Linked DNA regions of Danio rerio. The protein of the gene in region 2 interacts with the protein of the main gene of each other region in a biochemical or structural test. Links are inferred from orthologs where the notes say so. Each region holds a gene or a part of one and is shown on either strand. Other genes may lie near its edges. The genes, in order: npr3 and nppa.

Region 1 (3,830 bases), on a different chromosome or scaffold from region 2:
TCTCGCTTTCAGTTTCGGGCTTTGGCGCGTTTTGCCTCTCTCTCTCTCTCTCTCTCTTTCTCTCTCTCACTCTCTCTCACTCACTCACGCGGGCATGCACTATGGTCTCGTGAGGAAACGCTGCTTTTTGATATAGTGTTTTTCTTGCTCCCGAATACAAATAATTTTTCAAGTATTTGTTTGAATCAAGTATTCGTAAAAACACGCTATTCGTGCCTTTCCGAATACCGTATTCGGGTTCGGCTCCACCCTTAATATATATATATATATATTTCATAAAAAAGAGTGTATTCTGTATTTACCTAAAGAAGTAGAATGCCAGGAGAAGAGCTGTTCCCAGAATCCCCCCTACTATTATCCCAGTCACCGCTGATACACCTAGTCCACCTGCTTAGGAGAGAAAGTAAAACCATGTATAAGGAAAGCTCTCCATCTACAAAATCCAGGAGTTATCATAATAAATGATTATTCATAATAATTAAACAATATGTACTGTATAAGGTACAATGTCTCATTTCCACTGAGCAGTATTTTTCTGAACAATACAGTACTGGTGGTTACCCTAATCAGGCCTGCATTTCCTTTGGGAACAATACACTTTCTTGGTAGTCATTGTGCATGCCAGAAAGTTGTGATCAGCATCATTGACTGTTCACATATGGCATATTTTATGACTTCAAGTTTATTATTTTAAATGTAGACGCGTGGCAAGCCTGCACAGTTAGACAGATGAACCGGGCCTTTTGCAATTTCCACTCGTTTAGACGCAACATGTGAACAGTCCCTTAAACAAAAATAGAGGACATAAAGCAGATCCTGTTTTTTCTTCTTAGCATATGACAGTTTGTTTGAGATTGGGGTTGGGCATGGTTCACTGCTCTGTGAGGTCTTGTATTATGTATTGTATTGTATGACGGTGTTGTGTTTTGGCTGTGTATTTAAAAATGTCACTTCTTGTGTTGACGTTCCACTTGTCTTGTTGCATGCGCTGGTGACAATTCTCTATAAACCAATATTATTCAGTCTAGCTCCGCCCTTTTGGTACTGTACTGTATTTGTACACCCTTAGGAAATGGTATTTTGGTACCTTTGACAGTGGAACAAATGTGTATTGTACACATGTACGTGTACAGTACCAAACCATACCACTCAGTGGAAATGGGCTATTAGACCCATCTATGACTTAGATGGGTTTAAATCCACACTGTTACAGAAATAAAGCAAACAAACAAGTGCCAGTCTTAAAGCAGCAGAGGTAATTTACATGATGGGTCGAGAGGTTTTGGAGGTGGTATCGTTCGCAAGGAGAACCATTCCCTCTTGAAGCCCGGCAAGATCTGGAAACTTCCATTAGTGCCGAAGTAGTTCATGACAGTCTGATGGTATAAAAAGACATTCATTATAGTGACTACCTGTATTGACTCTCCTCAATTCTGACTAAACAACTTAGGCCCCATTTACACTAATACGTTTTTGTTTTAAAATGCATAAGTTACGCCTTCCTTCCACACTACCCCAGAGTTTTCTAGCCCTGAAAATGGAGCATTTTGGAAAAAGTATAAAGGCCGTTTTTTCATTTTCAAACGCTGCTGCTCCGTGTGGATGAGGGAAAACAGAGACATCTGAAAACCGAAAGCATGGCCACCTGATTGGGGCTTTTCCCTCAATATTAAGTGCACAAAGTTCAGTCTAGCATCCTTAAGTTCAGACTTTTGATATGAGTTTGATATGGAAAACAAATCTTGAACTAAATCTTCAAAGGGAACCTTGCACTTTTTTAACCTCATCTTATCACCCTGCTACATTGTTTCATCTTACAATCTAAACAATAAAATAATTATATGACATTACTGCATATTTTCTTCTTGATATTAGCAACAGACGCCAAAAATGTTGAGGTATCATGTAACTGCCTTCTTTCTTTTTCTTTGAAAAATAAGAAACATAACCTCTCCTTTGCTAAATATCAGTTTTAATAATTCATAATGGCCATTTTAAAAGTACACAAGTTTATACAATATAGGAAATAAAGCCAAGCAATCAATGTGCAAAATCAGTGTATGTGGTTACATTAATATTTTAACTTATCTTTACGCTCGGCCAAAACACATTACCTTAGAACAAGTAATAGATCCAAAAGACCAAGAAGTCGTTAGATAGAGACAAGATGAATTAAATATCACGTTTAACTACTATAGTGAGATGAGATCCAGCGGAACATCCTGGATGAACTGTCCAATGTGCACTGCTCCCATCTGGGGAGGTGTGCTCAGCACCCGCCAAGTGTTTGTGCGCGGTCACGTGATGTGCGTTTTCAGAGGTCTGGTGTGGATGTAGATCGTTTTTGTTCTAAAACGCCATTTTAAATCTAAAACGTATTCGTGTAAACTAGAATAAATTAGTTTCAAATGTCTGAACTGTCGAGAGGTTTTTGTAAAATACCTCGTGTTTTCCTGACTCTGGATCGGTCATCCTCACAACAGAGAAATCCCCATTCCGGTCGCCATTGGCATCCAAAGACACCTGGCCAGCAATGCCTGTATAACGGAATGTGAGGAATGAGAAAATTAATTAGTTTGAAGAGTCAGACATTCCAAGGAAAACACCGGCAAGAGTCGACAAATTCCGGGTGGGCAATACAACAGGAAATCTCATCCGCCTCCTGCCGTTTTTGTTGGCTTTGACTGCAGAAATGGTAATTTCATCTGTACATCTGTGTTGCTGAATTCTTGAGATTTTTAAAATATTATTTCATTTAACAGGAAAACATGACCCTGTTCCTGATGATTCTGGCTGAGTGGAACATTGTTATTTCACGTTTAGTTGTCTTGCTGTGGTCATTGAGACGGGTCTGAGCCGCAGACATGTCTGAGCACTTATTTTGTAAGGGAAGTTTAATGAATTACAGTGGCAAGAACACTGGCGAGACCTCTGTTCACGACTACAATAATGGGAATCAAATGGTACTTGGTCAGTCTTAAGATTCCAACTTGCTTTTTTTCACAAAATATGCATTACTGTTTTCCTAGTAATGAACTTAGTGTGCAAAATTTAAGAGAATGTTTAAATGTTAAAGGACAAAATGTTAACAAAATTTTGCATACATTACTACTCAAAAATTAGCAATGTCAAAGAAATTTTGAATAAACAAATAAATAAATAAAAAAATATAAAATAAAATAAAATGTTATTACAATAAAAAATATATACTTTAGTTCTGAATATTAGGCCTTTAACTTGCATTGTAAGAAAGAAAAAATAGACCAAATAGTTTGGTTAACTTAAATTCCTGGAACCATTTTAAGCAAAATGTTTTTTTTTTTGTTTTGTTTTTTTGTTTTAATGATAACCTATGCACGGAAGGTCAACCAGGCCATAACAATGCCTGTTACAGGGTCAACAATACTAACCGCTGAGCCACTGTGCCGCTCCCTACATACATTTTTTGTAACTTTATTTGTAATATAGCCAATACTTGTGTGCGAGTTACTAGACCCCCTCCCACAAGTCAAATGTTGTTTTAAAAAAATTGAAAGACTGAAGTTATGTTTTCGTCATCAGGAATGTATGTTTTTGTTAGCAGAACACACATATTCAAAGGCACAGGACAAAGTAGCAGACGCTGAAATGTATGCAGCCAATTTCACCATGAACATTCAAGGTGGAAATACTCAAAACTCTTTTTGTCATTTCAATAAAACAACATTAGAATGAAGGATGTACACTACCGGTCAAAGGTTTGACAAAGTTTTTTTCATGTAATTTCATGTATGAAAGTTATTCTGTGCATCAAGGTGTCATTTATTAAATGTTAAATTGTTAAATATATG
Region 2 (4,520 bases):
TAGCCTGATTTCACCCTACTGCTTTATCTTTGTTTTGGAAGAATCCCTTCTTCCACCCCATCGCTTTCTTTTCCTTCTTTACCGCGAGGAGCTCTCAAGACTTACCTGATCTCGGACCCCCTTACATGCTTAAAGATTTGCCGGGATCCCTGGGCTCAATTATTCCCAAGTTTATGGTTCTCTCCCAGGACAGCATGCCAAACTTGCTAATAGTGTCAAGCAATAATCTAATCCTAAACTCTTGGAATCAACTTTGGACAAAAGTGGTGCGCAGATGACCTTGACCTTTATATATTGTACCTTTTATATATTGAATCCCAAGATCATTTAAAAATACCATTAATAAATGCTCCAATACAACTCAACCTTCTTTTTTTTTCTTTTTTTTTTTTGCTATGATGAACCATTTTTGCTTTCCAAAAGAACTTTTCAGTAGACAACTGCGAAAAGAACCCTTTTTCCATAGCATGAACAACATTTCGAGAATTTAAAGAACCTTTTTTTCCACTATAAGAACCATTTATGCAATGGAATATTTCAAAAAGTAAATCAAAAAATTTTTTAAAGAACATTTTGTCCAATGGAAAATTCCATAGGTATTTGCGAAGTGTTTTTCCTCTATAAAAACCTTTTTTTTTCCCAATTGAACATTTCCTAAGGTGAATCTAAAGATATTTGTCCACTATAAGAACTTTTGTCTGATAGAAAGTTCAATAAGTGCAACAAAAAAAATTCCAGAATAAGAACCTTTTGTTTAAGGAAAAATTTTAATATGTGCAACTAAATAATTTTGTTTCCACTTTATATAAACCTTTTTTCCAATAGAAAATTTCCATAGGTGCATCCAATATATGTTCTCACAATAAGAACCATTTGTCCAATGGAAAATTTCCATATAGGTGAATCTAAAGTTCCATGGATCCATGTAAAGATTTTTTCCCTATTATGAGAACCTTTTGTCTAATAAAAAATTCCATAGGTACATATACAAGTTTTTTTTTTCACTTTAAGAACCTTTTGTCCAGTAAAACATTTCCATATATGGATCTAAATATTTTTTTTTGCTATAGGAACCCTTTTTTCAATGTAAAATTTCTATGGGTGTATCTAAAAAGAATGTTTCCAGCAATAAGAACCATGTGTTCAATGGAAAACGTCCATAAGTGAATCTAAAGATTTTTTTTTCCACTGTAAGAGCCTTTTGTCTAATGCAAAGTTCCAGATGCATGTAAAGATTTTTTTCAATATAAGAACGTTTGTCAAGTGAAACATTTTCATTTATGCATTTAAATATTCTTTAACTATAAGAACCTTTTGGCTAACGGAAAATTTCCATTGGTGCATCTAAAAAGAATGTTTCCAAAAATAAGAATCATTTGTCCAATACAAAAAGTCCATAGGTGAACCTATAGGTTTTTTTCCACTATGAGGACCTTTGGTCTAATGGAAAGTTTCCATAGGCATATCTAAAAAGAATGTTTCCAACAAAAGGAACCATTTGTTTAGTAGAAAACTATAGAAGAGTCTAAAGATTTTTTTTCCCACTATAAGAAGCTTTTGTCTAATGGAAAGTTTCATAGGTGCATGTAAAGATATTTTTTGTTCCATTATAAGGATCTTTTGTCCAATGGAATATTATTATAGGTGCAAAAAAAAAAAAAGCACACAATAAGAAGCTTTTGAATTAAATAAAATGTTCCCGCTATATGTAAAAATCTATTTTGTCCAATGTAAAATTTCCATAAGCGCATCCAATATTTTTTCCACAATAAGAACTGTTTGTTAAATGCTGAGTTCCATAGGTCCTTGTAAAGATTTCTTTTACCATTATAAGAACCTTTTATCCAATGGAATGTTCCATTGGAATGATGTCTAATGGATAGTTCCATTGGTGCATCTAAGTATTTTTTCTTTCTACTATAAGAACTTTTTTTTCAGAGGAAAATTTCCATAGGTGCATCTAAAAAAAAATGTTTCTAAAAATAAGAACCATTTGTCCAAAATAAAAAATGTCCATAGGTAAATCTAAAGATGTTCTTTCCACTATAAGAACCTTTTGTCTAATGGAAAGTTCCGTAGATGCATGTAAAGATTTTATTTTCAATTATAAAAACCTTTTGTCCAGTGGAACAATTACATATATGCATCTGAAAAATTCTACTATAAGAACTTTTTGTCCAATGTAAAATTTCCATAGGTGCATCCAATATTTTTTTCTCACAATAAGAACTATTTGTCCAATGGAAAATTTCCATAGGTGAATCTAAAGATTGTGTTTCCACTAAGAATCTTTTGCCCAATGGAATGTTGTTCCACAGGTGCATCTAAGTACTTTTTTGTATACTATAAGAACCTTTTGTCTAATAGAAAATGTGCATAAGTAATTTGCAATCATTTTTAACTAAAAGCCTTGTGTGTCATAAAGATTTGAAAAATGACTGTGCATATAAAAATCCCTCGCACAATAAGAACCATTTGTCCAACGGAAGTTGTTAATAGGTGAATCACAATACTTTTGGAGAATTGGAAAGTTTCCATGAATGTTAAAGATTCTTTATGTAAACATGCTGCCAATGACCTTTTAAGAGTATCTAATAATTTTACTTCTTATTTTTTCGATATTGAAAGTCACATAAAGAACCTTCAACATCAACAGAAAACTTCAACTGTACAAAACGTTGTAAAAGAAGTTGTTTCAGTGACGAAAAACCACTAACTTTTAAGAGCACTGACTGTTTACCTCACATTGAATTGGTTAAACATAAACCCAAATACCTTGAGCTTGGCCATGTTGCTGTCAGAGCTGTGTCTGCTCAACGTGTGCGCTTGTACATCCGTCTGCTGCCAAACCAGGAGCAGCAGTCCTGTCAGAATTAGTCCCCCGGCCATCTCTGAGTGTCTCTGAATGCGTTTTCTTGCCCTCTGAACTGGCTTGGCTCTTATATAGGGACAGTTGGCTGTCAGTGGCTCATCCGTGGTAAAGCGTGTGAAGTGCATTCCGACACCTCGTCTGTGATAACGCTTGCTGGGGCAGATTTCCTTTTAAGTGGCTGTTTTTCGCAGGCCTGGAGAAGTCCTGGTAACTCGGACACAAACAGTGACCTCAGGCATCATGGGGAATGAATCCGCTGCACACGAGTGGCTCACATGCTTCCGGCATCAGATACAAACTACAACTGAGTATACCATAAGGGGTTAAAGCAGACCGCAATCCTATATATAGGCCAATGATGCAGACTGAAGGGATGACTTTGTGGACTATATGTAAAATATGTTTATTGGAGAGGTTTTATCTGACTGATTTCTTGTGTTGTTGGCATGATGACCGCACATAATATTTTACTACACTGTTACGACACTGTATAAAAAAAAACCTGTTTATTATAGGTTTTCTGTATTTTCTGTTTATAAACGGTTGTGAATTGTATTATGGGATGTTGATCTCTTTCAATGTTGAAAATTAAACTTTACAGTTTAACAAAGTGCATTTTATTGACATTTTAGTAGTTTGAAATAATATAGGTTTAATAAATAATATATAGAGATACACTGACCGGCCACTTTATTAGGTACACCTTACTATTACCGGGTTGAACCCCCTTTTGCTTCAGAATCGCCTTAATCCTTCGTGGCATGGATTTAACAAGGTCCATATTGACATGATAGCATCACGTAGTTGCTGCTGATTTGTCAGCTGCACATCCATGCATTTGAATCTCCTGTTCCACCACATCCCAAGGATGCTCTATTGGATTGAGGTCTGGTGACTGTGGAGGTCATTTGAGTACAGTGAACTCATTGTCATCTTCAAGAAACCCCAGTCTGAGATGATTTGTGACATGGCGCGTTTTTTTGCTGAAAGCAGCCATCAGAAGATGGGTACACTGTGGTAATAAAGGGATGGACATGGTCAGCAACAATACTCAGTAGGCTGTGGCATTGGCACGATGCTCAATTGGTAAACATCAGTTTCAGTTCTTTTCAGTGCTCTCCCTACTCAGACTATAAAACATCTCATTCACAAATATTCTTTGCTGAGTCTTGTTTCTCTAAAAACATTTGCAAGCGTTATTCCTGTCAAGCCTTGCTTTTTGATCATTGCCTTGTTTAATTGTTTATGCTGTTTGCCGCCTGCACTGACCTCTTTGCCTGTGACCTCGACTACACTTCTGAATTACCCTCATGATATTTTTTGTACCTGTTGACCATTGCCTGTCTGAAAAATTCATAATAAACTGCACGTGGATCTTAAACACTGTTCTAATGGTACAATAATGTTGTAATATTTCTATTTTTATTTTTTTATGCTATATCTTATATTATTTGATCCTTTTAATGTTTCTAAATGTTCTAAAATGTTTATTTATTTATTTCATAACCTATTATTTAATAAATTACTAATTGTATATTCATTTTAATTCCAGTTTAAGACCAATTTTAATTAAAAACTAGCCATATAGTTTGATATTCACTTAATATTTCAATTAAACTTTGGCAGCTTGTCCTTTTTCCCATTTCCA

The links.
Region 1: the proteins of nppa (region 2) and npr3 form a complex in vitro, tested with the Homo sapiens proteins (4 studies listed by BioGRID, with this or other methods). The link is inferred for Danio rerio from reciprocal best matches to the Homo sapiens genes NPPA and NPR3.

What each region holds. Positions count from the first base shown.
Region 1 is NC_133180.1:42,184,366-42,188,195, forward strand, and holds part of npr3 (atrial natriuretic peptide receptor 3 precursor), read right to left. Parts: intron 2,538-3,830; coding exon 2,443-2,537; coding exon of another isoform or gene 2,389-2,442; exon of another isoform or gene 1,413-2,388; intron 1,377-1,412; coding exon 1,265-1,376; intron 391-1,264; coding exon of another isoform or gene 388-390; coding exon 303-387; intron 293-302; exon of another isoform or gene 170-292; intron 1-169. UniProt on the Homo sapiens protein: Receptor for the natriuretic peptide hormones, binding with similar affinities atrial natriuretic peptide NPPA/ANP, brain natriuretic peptide NPPB/BNP, and C-type natriuretic peptide NPPC/CNP.
Region 2 is NC_133183.1:58,370,460-58,374,979, reverse strand, and holds the start of nppa (natriuretic peptides A precursor), read right to left. Parts: upstream 2,928-4,520; 5' UTR 2,890-2,927; coding exon 2,776-2,889; intron 1-2,775.